2 linked regions of the Lytechinus pictus genome follow. The main gene of each other region encodes a partner of the protein of the gene in region 2 in a complex. Links are inferred from orthologs where the notes say so. Each region holds a gene or a part of one and is shown on either strand. Other genes may lie near its edges.

Region 1 (7,913 bases), about 46 Mb from region 2:
GTAATCCCCGCTGTCTCAATTTTACCTCCACAGGCTAGATTATGAGCGTTGAGCCAAGGACGAAATGATAAACAACAGCTGTGCTATTACGTAAGACTTCTCTGCCTGTAGTAGGACCTTCGGAATGAAATTATTGTATTCGATATTTAATCACGTTTTCAAATGCATATTGTATTCAGAAATCCAATGTTAGTCCATTTTCAAGTTCGAACGAAGAAAATCGACCTCGAAATAAGGAAAGTAAGTGAATTAAAATGACGGCATGCTTTGCTCGGGCTGTTGCGTTATCTTCGGACCGAGGTCAAGAAACAGGTGTTTTGATACTTAAAGTGCTTGCTTGGGGCAGTTATGGTTTGTCGTACTTGGAGAAGAGAATTGATTGAGGGAAACTGGGGTATAGTGTTTTCAAATGAAAGGTTTTCGTCATGTTTCCACGTTTTATGAACTAGACCAATACACTTATAGAGATATGATGGCAATTCAACAAATACCCCCAACGTGGCCAAAGTTCTTTGACCTTACATGACCTTTGACCTTGATCATGTGACCTGAAACTCGCACAGGATGTTCAGTGATACTTGATTACTATTATGTCCAAGTTTTATGAACTAGACCAACACACTTTCAAATTTATGGCTGTAATTCAACAAATACCCCAATTTGGCCAAAGTTCATTGACCCTAAATGACCTTTGACCTTGATCATGTGACCTGAAACTTGCACAGGATGTTCAGTAATACTTGATTACTATTATGTCCAAGTTTCATGAATCAGATCCATAAACTTTCAAAGTTATGATGGTAATTCAACAGATACCCCCAATTCGGCCAAAGTTCATTGACCCTAAATGACCTTTGACCTTGGTCATGTGATGTGAAACTCATGCAGGATGTTCAGTGATACTTGATTAACCTTATGTATAAGTTTCATGAACTAGGTCCATATATTTTCTAAGTTATGATGACATTTCAAAAACTTAACCTTAGGTTAAGATTTTGATGTTGATTCCCCCAACATGGTCTAAGTTCATTGACCCTAAATGACCTTTGACCTTGGTCATGTGACATGAAACTCAGGCAGGATGTTCAGTAATACTTGATTAACCTTATGGCCAAGTTTCATGAACTAGGTCCATATACTTTCTAAGTTATGCTGTCATTTCAAAAACTTAACCTCAGGTTAAGATTTGGTGTTGACGCCGCCGCCGTCGCCGTCACCGTCGGAAAAGCGGCGCCTATAGTCTCACTCTGCTATGCAGGTGAGACAAAAAACTGATATCACCAACAGAAAGAGCGACTTAAAATTACCCAATATAGTAATTTTCTTGAAGGTAAGGTCTATTAATGAAAATATTGGTAAAACATCGGCAAATATTGTTACCTTTTGCGTCTGCTCTGAGAAAATCTGACCTTCTCGACAAGCATCAAGAATTCACCAGTTTGCAAGCGGAAGTCTCCAAATAAGTAAGTAAAATGTGATACCAACCAAAATTATGGCATTTTAACCTCCAGCTCCATCTGATACAATTTTATTATGTTACCTTTGTCTGCTTGATTTCTTTTCTAACGCCTCGTAAAACGATCGTGCGCAAATTAAGGTCACACTTTTTTTATGACACTTTTTTCAGCAGAGCGCGCACTAGTCGATCGCCATGGAACTTTGAGACCGCGATACGAGCGAAACCCTTCATGACGAAAAACCTCCATTTGAGAACACTATACCCCAGTTTCCCTCAATCAATTCTCTTATCCAAGTACGACAAACCATAACTGCCCCAAGCAAGCAATTTAAGTATCAAAACACCCGTTTCTTGACCTCGGTCCGAAGATAACACAACAGCCCTGCAAAGCATGCCGTCATTTTAATTCACTTTCTTTCCTTATTTCGAGGTCGATTTTCTTTGTTCGAAATTGAAAATGGGCTAACATTGGATTTCTAAATACAATATGCCTTTGAAAACGTGATTAAATATCGAATACAATAATTTCATTCCGAAGGTCCTACGACAGGCAGAGAAGTCTTGCGTAATAGCACAGCTGTTGTTTATCATTTCGTCCTTGGCTCAACCAATAGCTCCATGGCTCAACGCTCATAATCTGGCCTGTGGAGGTAAAATTGAGACAGCGGGGATTACCTGGCCTAGCGGGGTTGATCAGGCGGGTGTTTCATAAAGCTGTTCGTAAATAAAGAGCGACTGGTGATCCTGTCTTGCCGTAAATGGTACACACCATTGGCGATGATTTAGCGCGCGAGAAAGGATCACCAGTCGTTCTTAAAGTCGCTCTTAACTTACGAACAGCTTTATGAAACAGCCCCCTGGGCTTGGAAATGATTTTGGGATTTACGAATGCAAAATGGGGTATAGTACCGCAGTTTGCAATCTGAACTGCGGTCTTTCTCCAAACGGTGGTCTGACGTAATGTTGACCTACTTTATAATTCCGTCAAGCGAATTTGACTGATCTTGCCTTCCGTTTGGTATTCATGATCATGATTTTGATTAATTTTGTGTGAGCTGTTAGTGTTAGAAATTTTTGATTGAAAATCAACTTCATGATGATTTTTAAAATGTGTGCAAATTATAATGGTCACCCCATTATACTTATAGACTGATCGTGTCTCATTTTAATTTTATTTAATTCCTTTTTATTATTTTGTGTGAATTTTGAAGTTAAAAAGTCTACATGGTCTAGGGCCTAACTAACTTGTATTTTTTGTAACTTGTTAACGTTATTTCATTTCATTTTCAATCATGATAAAATTTTTAAAAATGAAAGGTTAACTTAAACAACTTACTCTAAATCTTTCCTAAGCACTTCATTGACGAATCTTTCATATTCAATCACCTTTTCTGGTATATCTTCAGACATTTTGAACTTGAAGAAGGAGTTTGATGCTGATCCAGTGGCAGTGGTCAGTGGTCTACAGCACACAGGCCTGATACAGGCATCTCTGACCAGGTGCATCCCTGTCTGCTGTTACTAATTTTAGATCTAATGTACCGGTTTGGGGTCTGTGGACTGAGACTAAAACTGTAAATGTTGTTTAAAAGTGCTTTATAATTTAATTATTTCTGAGTTTTTTTAATCTTATTAATTTTATTCATGTATAAAAATATAAATTAAATAAATTTTTAATATTTTCAAAATAAAAACTGCACGAATTAAAAAAAAAACAGAGTTTAAAAACATAAATAAAAATAATTTTCATTGAGCTGATGATAGACTATAGAGATGGCCGAATTACTCTTGGATCCCAATATCAGAATTTGGGTGGTATTACCCATAGTTTTTATTACCTTTTTCGTTGGTATTATAAGACATTATGTTAGTTTATTGCTTGCCAGTCAGAAAAAAGTTGATTTGCAGAAAGTTGGTGATAGGTAAGTCCATAGATTTTATATTTTACTTTTTTTTAATTTCCTTAGTACAGTCCCATATACTGTAAAACGTGTAAGTTCTATTGCAAGAAGCTCCCCTCGCACACGCCACGGGCACTCCTAGTATACCCAGTTGTTGTGTGTCCGGACAGGTTGTGTGTCCGGACGATCAATTTTAGAAAGTCATTTGGAAAAATTTACAAGCGAAGTTTCATCAATTTTTCGTACAAAATGTAAGGAAATATTATGGAGAACAAAATGGAAGATGATTACAACTATTGAATTCATATTTTTAGTGTAATCCAAAGACAAATAAAGAAGGCTTCAACAATATAAAGTGTCCGGACACCCGATCCCCCATCCTACCAATGAGGTCCAACATTACATGTATGGACCTCATAGGCGACATCAGTAGTATTTTTGGTTAGAAATCTCTGAGAACAGGATATTTATATATTATATCACAAGTACAAGCTATATTCCTTTCTCTTATTTAAATTATAATTTTATAGTGTAAATGCATCGTTAGCAACAACAAAAAAATGAAAGAAATGAAGGGGAACTTACATTTTCACGGCTTTTTCCTGATTTTCTGGGCAGCTGCTCTTCTCTTCTGACTCGCGATCGAAGCTGATATGAAGATCACGTGATTCGCGTTCTCGTCAGCTGATCGGTTGGTTATTCTTTTCGTCAGACGTTAATAATATATATTTTATAATAATGCTAGCATTCATCGCTAATTTAGGTGAAAGAGATTGAAGTTAAACAGCGCCAGGTCGGAATCATAATTATTTTGGAAGAGTGTATTTATACACTCGATCTATTCAACAAATGCACAATCTTCAATATAAAAAATAAAACAGAAAGAACGCCTTGAACACAGGCCAAAATGCCTAACGATTTCTCCGCGGCATTAACAACTATCGTAAAGGGCGCTCCATTTATCAATAAAGATGGATGCTAAGCTGTCTATGGCGACAAAATTTGCCGCAAATATTTACGAAGAATTGTGAGAAATGGTCTGAAAATGCAACAAAAGAACCGGTGAGTACCGATTAAACATTATCAATTTATTTAATAGAACATATTTAATGACTACAATGTAACAATTTCTAGATAATATTGCTTAGTTCTAAGCTAGGGCGGCCCAAATGCGCTTGAGTGGAGTCCCAGTTTATTAGCACGGGTAAGTATTGGGGTGTCGCCTAGAGTGGCCACGGGTAGCCTAGCCAGGCGGCTTCTAGAGAGTAAAAATCATTTACTAACGTAAGGTCACTCTCATGAAGCCAGGGCTTCCGTCATATACTTTTGTGTGTACCACCAAAAAACCTGAAACTTTCGCCCCCGAGATTTCTACTTTCTTTCTAAAAGATCTAGCCCTAAATCATGTAGGCTAGGCCTACATGTCATGGGATAAAACTTCATTTCCGACATTTCTACGCTCTCGTTGTTATTTTTGAACAAGAATTCATCAAAAAAAATGAGAGAAATATTGTGTAAAGACGGAAGAGACTTGCCCGATGTTTACGCCGCCATCTTGTTTTCTATTGTTCTTCCCCAACGTTACCCGACGCACGCGTCTGTAACGTTGGCGAAGAACAATAGGAAACAAGATGCATGGATGAAAGAAGCCACTTTCTTGGGACCTGCCGTCTGACTGAAAGGGCTAATTTTTCATGAGGAATCTCCTTATCACATTTTTATTTGCCGCCAAGGTAATTCTTTTGCAGCAAATGTAAACAAAGGAAATTGGTCTCCAAAACTGAAAATGGATACCCAAATTCTTTACAAAAGTCTCTGATATTGGAGATAATCTCCCACATTGGAGACAGTCTCCAATATTGGCCGTGTGCCTCTACTGAATAGCGCCCCTATTGTCCGGATGCGACCATGCGAACGCAAGCAGCCGACAATAAAGTGTACGATTTCCAGGCTTATTAGGCTTAGTGTATCAAAACTCGAGCGACGCCCGCAGCCAAAATTTTGCTAACTTCCAGTAAACGCCTCGTCATATTTGTTCCGTAGTCTAACATCACTTTTCTTCTTAATTAAAAATATGGGTGGCAGAGATAGATGTGCTAGCTATAGTTGCAAGAATTACCACATATTTTATGAAAACAAGTGCAATTTTGTTTCATCTTCGCGCACTGTCTGTGCGTATTCTGAGCTGTACAACTGAGACCAGGCTGTGGCTGTGCAAAGTGTGCTTGTATGCATGCCGTTTGCACGGACTGTGGGCACTCTCGGCCCAGGGACAGAGTACGTCGGCGAGGCAGTGGAGGAAACTGGTCCCGGAATTCCCAAGGAATTAATAAAATGATGCATGATCAATAATAAACTCTGCAGTAGATTTGATTACTTTATCCTAGTTATATATTTTAGTAATATATCAATCGATTGTCAAGAATACATGTTTCATAAATAATTATCTCAATCATGACTCTATTCAGATATTAACCGAGCTGTGTTTTCTTTTCTCTCCACAGATACATAATTGCATGTAATTCAGGATCATGGCCGGACATTCTGAAGTTTTATTAAAATAATTAATTAAATATAAAAAAAATAATGGATGAGAATAGATGAAAGTATAATGAGAGAAAATAAGTTTTAAAAATAATGAAATTAAGGTACATTATCTGTGAGAGAAGTAATTAGTGACTGAATGTGATGAAATTAATTTAAAATGCAAATTTTTAAAATAATATTAAAGTAATGGAATATATATAATTTATATGAATTAAATATCCATCAGCTGCTTAATTTTCAGACAATGAAATTACAGAGAGGTTAGACTGAGGGAGACCATGGAGAATACTATAGTGCCTGTATATGGCTTATTATATTCACTCGCGTTCGTAATCACTCGCGTCGCGTTGGTATTATTATTTACAAGTAATGAAGTATTACTTGGAATTATATATAAATTATTAGAAATGTTATTTTATATAATAGTAATTATTTACAAATAGAATGTAAATTATATATAAATAATAGTTATTATTTAATGAATAATGATTATATAACAAATAATTGTTCTATATAATATTGGTACAATCGGCGCCTCATATATAACGTGGGATCTAACTCAGCTCGACTCACGTTAGCTTGCTCCATGCTACCGATGCACGTCGTGTCCGACCGCGGCCGGGTCCGGCCGCCTTGGGGCCATTGCATGTAGGCATGTCCGCATATGGGAATGATACGATGTAATATCGATGTGGCAGATATGGCAAGTTCCGACTCGGAGTCCTCGTATAAGACACAGTAGAAGTCCGGATCTATTCTAAGTTAGTTGAGCCACATGGCTGATTTGCTTGTTTGTTATGTTAAAACAGAAGTCGAGTACATCTTATTTAAGGCACTTGCCGGCTTAAAACGAAACTCGAATTTCAATTTCATTTTATTTTCCCAGCGTGTTTGTCCCATTGAAGACACCGTTAGAAAAAAAATCGCACCGAAATGAAAAAAAAAATCGCAAAAAATTCATAACGCGAGTGATTACGAACCCGCACGCGACGCGAGTGATTATAAACTGCCCTGTATATGGCATCATAAAATGTTTTATTTCAGGGATTTATTTAATCTTTATTCTGCATGTCATAGACCTATTTATATGTATTTATTGATATGTATATACACACTAGCTTATTTTAATATACTTTATATTTGGTCTAGAGCTCCGGCCGCTCGATCCTCTAGTCTCACCCCCCCCCCCCTCTATTAGATCCCGGCATTAGATCTTGTAATGATCAAACCCCAAAACTCATTTGCAAAGGACTATATCCCCCCAAAATAACAAAAACTAGCTAAATTCACTAGTTATGGAGATAAAATATATATCATGGTCTACATTATAATTCTCATCAATATTCTTTAATGGAAAAATAGCCTCAGGCTCTCTTCTGATCGCCGACGTGCTCTTTTCTACAGTCGATCGGCACATGCCCGCAATCACCATGTTCACTTTTCCCACAAAATCTTCCCAAATTTAGCCCCAGAAATCTTGGAAAATACGGTGAGCATTGAGTTCATACTTTCACTGTGCAATCATGATGCAAAGATTGTTCTATAAATCTACATTCAAATATCCAAAATAATTTCAATATGAAAAAATCAGACTCTTAAAAAAGCCTGGATTTTGAGTGACACTACACAAAACATGGCGTTGTATGGCTTCCCGAAAACCGATTCCGCGTTTGCTCCCTTTTTATTCCCGTGAGCCTTTGCGGTGAAAAACGCCCTCACGCGACGAATGCTATTTGCGATAAGGTGTATTGCGGTGCGGCAAATGCACATGCTATTAATGCGCTCATTTAGTCTCAAGACTAGCATGACCATGATGACTAGATCTAGGCTCTAGATCTGAGTCTACATTGTAGTTTCCCTCTTCTTCTATGTTGTTCTACATACATGATGTAGATTACTCTTGATGATGCCGAAGAAGGTTGAATCTAGCCTTGAGGTCTCCGTGATGATATTTTAAATATTTTTACATATATACTTTTTCATCACGGAGCCTTGAAACCCTTCCC
Region 2 (7,069 bases):
TTATCTATTTACCTATTGCCCTTCTGAAGTTCTCCATCAGCACCTCTGTCTTTTTAATCTCTGATGAGAAGACCTCGCTTCCAACCATGGGGCAGAAGGGTACCTTGTTGCCAAGCTCCTGGGCGATGGCAAGGGCTAGAGCCGTCTTTCCTGTCCCAGGAGGCCCTGCTAGCAGGATGGCTCGGCCAGCCATCTTCTTGGAGCGTATCAACTCTACAACTACACCAGCAGCCTGTAAAAAAACAAGTTAATATCAATATGCAAAATGTAGACCCTGTGCAAAGGTGGAGACTTAGAATGCAGTCTATTAAGATGAGTGTGTCAGATGAGTGTGTCAATTTGTGAACCATTCTTTTCTTATAGAGTGACTAAAATAGTTCCAGGGAAATTTCTGATTTTCTAAGCCCTCTTTCCTCTTTACTTGCCAATTCCATCACTTAAAGGAGAATGAAACTCTTGGAGCAAGTTAGCTTTTGTGAAAGCAGAAAAATCAAAGAATAAGATCAACAAAAGTTTGAGTAAAATAGGACTAGCAATAGAAGAGTTATGAGCATTTGAATGTCGAGGTCACTAATGCTATGGAGATCCTCCCATTGGCAATGCAACCAAGATCTATGATGTCACAGATGAACAACTCTCCCCTTTTGGACGCTGAAAATATACCCCAAAACATCTCTTTTTGCTCATTCTAATCATATGACAAACGATTCATCAATGATATAATGTTGTGAAACCTCTTTACTTGTCCTCTCATAAAGAGAACACCTCACCTTCTAATAGACTCTATAAAAGTGAGAATATAAGTGAAATAAGTACGAAAGTAATGAGGGAGTTGTACGTGTGTGACATCACAGATCTTGGTCGCATTGCCAATGGGAGGGTCTACATGGCATTAGTGATCTCAATATTCAAATGCTCATAACTTTCTTATTATTCATTCAATCTTCCTCAAACTTTCAACAATATGTTTCTTTCATTTTTCTCTTTGATATGGATTCAGCTGGTTTCAAGGGTTTCATTCTCCTTTAAGTTATTGAGCAAGATAAATTAAAAGTAAAACAGACTTTAGTACAAACATAATTTTTGCTGGTAAACGCCAAGCTGGTATATAACCAATTACCTAGGAAACATTTTACGTCTAGGTTATTCAGTCATAGTGGCTGACCCTATAGACGACAGATATTACTCTTGGGCCTTTTTATCAAAGTGGAGACAATAGCAGAGTGAGGATTCAAACTCACAACCTTGTTGTTGTGCACATGTCACAACCTTGCGATTATGAGTCCAATGCTCTAACCACTAGACCACACGACCCGCTGGACTATGTCTTGCTTCTTATTACAGGGTAGGCCGATTTAGATCACGTTGATTTAAATTGCGATTTAAATCACTATTGTTTTTCAAATCACTTTCATTGAAACATGTACAAATGATTGATGATTCTTTTTTGTGACACTGACAGTTTTATTTATGTGACTCAAAAGAAAAAGACTTATAAACTTTGTATCATCTAAACATGAATAAACCCTTCATATCTACTAAGAGCAATTGAAATCAAGACAACAAATTTAAGTTAATCTTGCAAAACCAAAGATGTACATGTGATGTTACTACATGTAACTTAAAAGTGGTTAACACTTAGACCACTCAAGGGTTCATTACATGCCGCAACTCACAGAAAAATCAAGGCTAGAACTTTAGAAGTCGTGTGTTGTGACCAGCCAGTAAGAAATCCACTGCCAAACACGGTTCTTGGTGCGAGATAAGTATATGACCTCGCACTGTACTAACGTTAGTGTGAGTGCACTACTTAGTCTTTAGACCCCTATTCCCTATAATATTCCACTTTTATTTTTAAAGTCAGCGGACAAAATTTTGGACGCATTACGCCGCCATCTTGTTTCTCAGACATTGTTCTTCGCCAACGTAACGGATGCATTGGCATTGTTCTTCGCCAACGTTACAGACGCATGCATGCGTAGACTGGCAGTGAGACAAAACCCCTTCAGTGTTAGAGTGGTTAATGACTGGAACTCTTTGCCTACTGAGGTAATCACAGCATCAACAATCAATGGCTTCAAGACAAAGTTAGACAAGTTCTGGTCTGCGTGGCATTATGTTCACGCATGGGAATAGTGCCTATTTCATTCCAATACATTAATTGGCACAGCACATTGCACAAATAGCACAGACTCAGTTTTCGAACTTATCCAAGCTAGGAAGACAACGAGATAGACCTGGAAACTTGACTGCAGCTGCAGGAACAACTGTATTTTTCCAGTAGATGCGGTATAAAGGTATAGGCCTAGCCTATAAAGGTATAGGCCTAAAGGTAACGTTGGCGAAGAGAAACAACGAGAAACAAGATGGCGGCGTAAACATCTCGGCAAGTTTCCCCTGTCTTTACACAATACTTTTCTTGTTTTCTTAATGAATTCTTGTTTAAAAATGAAATCGATAGCGTAGAAATGTCGGTAATGAAGTTGTATCCCGTAGGCCGTACTCTCTACATACATGATTTATGGCTAGAAAATTTAGAAAGTAGAAATCTTGGGGCGAAAGTTTCTGGTTTTTTGGTGGCACGCGTACATGAATGGGAAGGAATCCCTGGCTCCGTGGAGGGTAAGCATATATTAGTAAATGATTTTTACTCTCTAGGAGCCTCCTGGCTAGCCTAACGTTATTTCGATCTAATGTTTCGATCTACCAACCTCTCTGGCCATTTCTTGACCAATCAGACCTGCAGTTGTTTTTGATGATGCATTTCCAGAGTCATCAAGTCCAAGGCCCTTCACGTGAGTATGACTCGCTATTCTTTGAGTCTTCGTTGTACTTTTTACCTCCTCGATCTTCATAGTTGCTCCTACAACTTGAGTCTATAACTTGATTTGATTTATTTTCTTAGAATCCGGGCTTAAACGATAGATTTGCTGTGGATCTTAACCAAATTGTCCCGGCAAGTTGTATCTAACATCAACATCAACGCATGGGGTCTCAGTGAATTGTCTGAGTAACGAACGAAGAGGGCAGCAACACCAGCAGCTGTGGTGCAGCCATAGAGATGTATACTAGTAGTAGTATACATCTCTATGGGTGCAGCTCAATTAACTGCTTTGGGTTAAGATAATTTTTGTTTGAAAATTTTTATCACGATGTTTATTATTTTCCTTTGTTATATTGCTGTATGTAATATTATGATCTGAATAAAGGCTAAAAAGCTTTAAAAACAAGGGGTGGTATTCTGAGATCCATTTTATCTCAGATAAAATAAAATATTTTATCTCCGTTAAAATCAGTGAGATAAAATACCCTTAAAATCTCTCCGAATTAGTATTCTGAGAACAATTTTATCTTCATTTTATCTCTGTAAGACACACCTATTTTTTAATCAATATCCAATTAAAAATGCGCTTTTATAGCTCTCTCATATCACTCAACCAATGAAAATCCATTCCGCCAGGAGGTGTGGCAAAGGAGTGATATTGCGTCAATTTATTGACTTCAAATACGCTTGCAAAATACGCTTGCGCGTCTTTACAGAGATTTCTTTAAAAAAAATGACAATACTCTCATCTTTTTTCGAAGTCTATATCACATCTTTTCAAGCATCATTTCAAAGACAATATTAGTCAAGAAAAGTTTTATGAAATACTTCCTGATTGTACAGGAATAACATTAAGGTATTATTCTCAATAAATATATAATTTTTCTTAATTTTCATGTCAACATTTGTAGTTAATTCACCAAGAAATAATGATAAAAGCAACGTCGCAGAGATAAAACAGCCCCTACCCTCTTTTAAGTTTATTTTATTTTTTCTTCAAAGTAACATGGGCGCAAGCACATCATCCGCGTTGCATGGCCAGATACGCGATGGGTATGTCTACGCAGGCACTCCTCTGTTGCGTATCATCTGTAGATACGCAAGATAAAATTTATATGCAAGATAAAATTCAAAATTTTATCTGAGAGATAAAATGTCATCTCAGAATACCAATTTCATTTTAAGAGATAAAATAAAATATTTTAAAGATAAAATTACCTCAGAATACCGCCCAAGAACATTAAAAGGGCATAGATCTAATGTGCTTATTTTTTTTTAAATTCTATTGATTTCATTTTTTTAGGGGGGGGGGGGGGTTGGGGCCCCGAGGGATAGCCTGACGGCCTAGTCGGGGCAAACAACTAAGCTAAAAATAGAAATTGACTCGGAACACCAGGAAAACACGGACATGACCCGACCCGATGCATGTACATTTTGGGGGCGCAATCAATTACATATGGAAAACTAGCGGACAGAAGGTCCTCGCTGCACGCGCGCACCCTTATAACACGCAGAATTCCCTTGCATTATACCCTTTTTTCACAAACAAATGTGTATCAAGGACAAGCGTTGATTCAGATAGAATTTCCGCCCCCCTGAAATGAATGGTAACAACTTCTTCTATCAGATGAGGAAATAGGGCACTTTTATCATCAAATCAGAGGAGATTTTCTTTGTGATAGTGATGTCCGAAGAGCAAACCTACACTCGTGACGGGTCCATTATGTATACGAGGGGTGCATCCTAGCTTACCACTGCATAGCTAAGTCTGAAAATTAAGTTTTGCTTATTTCTTTCATTTTATAATGATGTTTAAATGTTCAAACAACGATAATTCATTAAAATTGACTCAAAATATTGCGAATCAACGCTGAAACATTATCTGTGTATACATTTTATCCCTCCGTGATGCTATTTCCCCCATAATTAAAGCCGCAATGGAACATTCCGCACCCAGGGCCGTAGCCAGAAGCATTTTGTTGGGGGGGGGTGTACCAGCTAAATTTGCCAACTAAATTTGGCGTGACAGCGCCAACGTGAGCACAGGGGGAGTCTGATGGGGGATGTGCCCCCCTACAATAATCACATGCTAAAAGATTTTGAATTTTTAGAATTGAATTAGTGGCATTTGGTGAATACTTTAAGGTAAATTATACAAAGATAAAAATAAACATTTTGGATCAAAATAGAAAGGCTATAGTGTGCCGTAGTTGCTAACTTGCAGTATAATGATATACCCTATATGCATTAATAATATCAAAATCAAAGATTTGTTAATTTTTAATTGACCTTCTGTGCAAGATGTCTCAACTAAAATTTCAAGAGCGCTACTGCTAACAGTGGCGTACCCTGGGTCACGGCATGGGGGGGGGGGGGGGGCACCAGCAAAATTTTTGAGTCATTAAGTGGGCGCGCGAAGCGCGCTCAATTACCATGTTTACTGACCTAATAGAGACATTTTAAGGACTGTGCCATTAAACGGATATGTATCTAAGTGATCAAATAATGCGAGCGCGAAGCGCGAGCTGAAAATGTATTCAGTCCTAAAAAGGGACATTATAAGCAAAGTTTTGTAATCATGATACGTACCTGTCTCACAAAACAAACAATGCGAGCGCGAAGCGCGAGCTGAATTTTTTTGTATAACTTAACCCTAAAAAGGGACATTTTAAGGACTATCTTTTGGAATTTATGAAGTGCGTACGTATCTCATCATAGTCATCTAATGCGAGCGCCAAGCGCTTGCTGATTCTGTTAAAATTACTCTGGTACATGAAGCACTTTTTGTGGTCATAATTGTAATCATGAACATGATACGTATTTCACTAAATAATGAAATGTTGCGGGCGAGAAGCGCGAGCTGACAATGTTTAAAATTTAGACCTGAAGAGGGGCATTCTATGGCTTGTTTGTAGGAATTTACTATTTCACAAATTAAGGGGTGCGAGCGCGAAGCGCGAGCTGAAAATTTGTTGTAATTAGATCAGAAAAAGGGACATTTTAAGGACTGTCTTTAGGAATTCGTGCACTGCAAAAACGCCGGTGTTGATTTAACACCAGCCCGGTATCTATATCGGTCCACACCAATGCGAACGTAAGCAGAGACTGGAAATGTTTTATTAAGGCCTTAAAAGGGGGCAATCACTTTAAGTATATAGTCATGAAAAAAGCATATGTCACTACATAAAACAATAATAACTTGAAGTGCGAGGGGATAATTTGGTGCATAATCTTCATGGACTTAAAATACAACAGGACTATATATCTCATTAGTCAGACAATGCGAGCACCAGGAATGATGCAACCCCAACCTGCCCCCTCTCCCACCCATCCCCACCCCAAGCACATTCTGACACCATAAATAAATAAAAAATCTTCGGCGACAGAATTTAGTAAAAATAACTTAGAATATTTTTGTGTTTTTGCCAACTGCAAACTTGTAGACAAGTCTACAAGTTGTAGACCTGTCTTCATGAATTTGCCAACTGAAGAGTTACCAGTTTTTTAAGTCTTGTGTTCTGTTCTTTTCAGATCTGAAACGGGGCAGTACTTGTACATCACTTTGCTGACTGGTAGAGCGTGTAGTGTTCTGCCACTTTAATAGGCCCACTTTATAATTTGCCAACTATACTTTGGCTTTGATTATTCAACTTAAACCTTGGAAATTCATCCTACCCCATATTTATTTACCTAGTCTTGCCTCTGATTTTACAAAACTAATGTGTTTGTTAAATCGTCAATAATTGTGGTATAATTTGCAAACTCACAAGCTTGTTTATATTGGGGGAGGACCGGGGCTTACTTTGTGTGTTATTATAGCTCCATCTGTTTTGTCCTTTGTATTTTTCTGACTATAGGGCTCTAAGCCTGACTACATGGACTTGGATTTGCCAACTGGTTGTCTTTACTCTAAACGTCGTAACCTTCTTCGAAGTTAGTACCCCTATTTTTCTTTCCTTTTTTTTCTTTATTTCTTTCTTTCTTTCCTCCTCTCTCTCTCTCTCTCTCTCTCTCTTTCTTTCTTTCTTTTTCTTTCTCTCCCCCTCTCTCCTTCTTTCTTTTTTCTCTTTCTTTCTTTCCCTCTTTCTTTTTCTCCCCTATCCTCCATTTTGCCAACTGGTACATGATTTTGCCGACTGCCATGAATGTTGGGGGGGGGGGGTGTCACACCCCCCATACCCCCCCCCCCCCTCTAGCTACGGCCCTGTCCGCACCACTAGTCATACGATGATCGCGAGGTCTGCA

The links.
Region 1: ruvB-like 1 (region 2) and protein UXT homolog share a complex: the UniProt entries of both Homo sapiens proteins name them as parts of the PAQosome complex. The link is inferred for Lytechinus pictus from reciprocal best matches to the Homo sapiens genes RUVBL1 and UXT.

What each region holds. Positions count from the first base shown.
Region 1 is NC_087247.1:51,229,320-51,237,232, forward strand, and holds the start of protein UXT homolog, read right to left. Parts: upstream 3,024-7,913; 5' UTR 2,966-3,023; coding exon 2,796-2,965; intron 1-2,795. UniProt on the Homo sapiens protein: Involved in gene transcription regulation. Acts in concert with the corepressor URI1 to regulate androgen receptor AR-mediated transcription. Together with URI1, associates with chromatin to the NKX3-1 promoter region.
Region 2 is NC_087247.1:4,839,077-4,846,145, forward strand, and holds the start of ruvB-like 1, read right to left. Parts: upstream 3,016-7,069; 5' UTR 2,856-3,015; coding exon 2,712-2,855; intron 233-2,711; coding exon 13-232; intron 1-12. UniProt on the Homo sapiens protein: Possesses single-stranded DNA-stimulated ATPase and ATP-dependent DNA helicase (3' to 5') activity; hexamerization is thought to be critical for ATP hydrolysis and adjacent subunits in the ring-like structure contribute to the ATPase activity.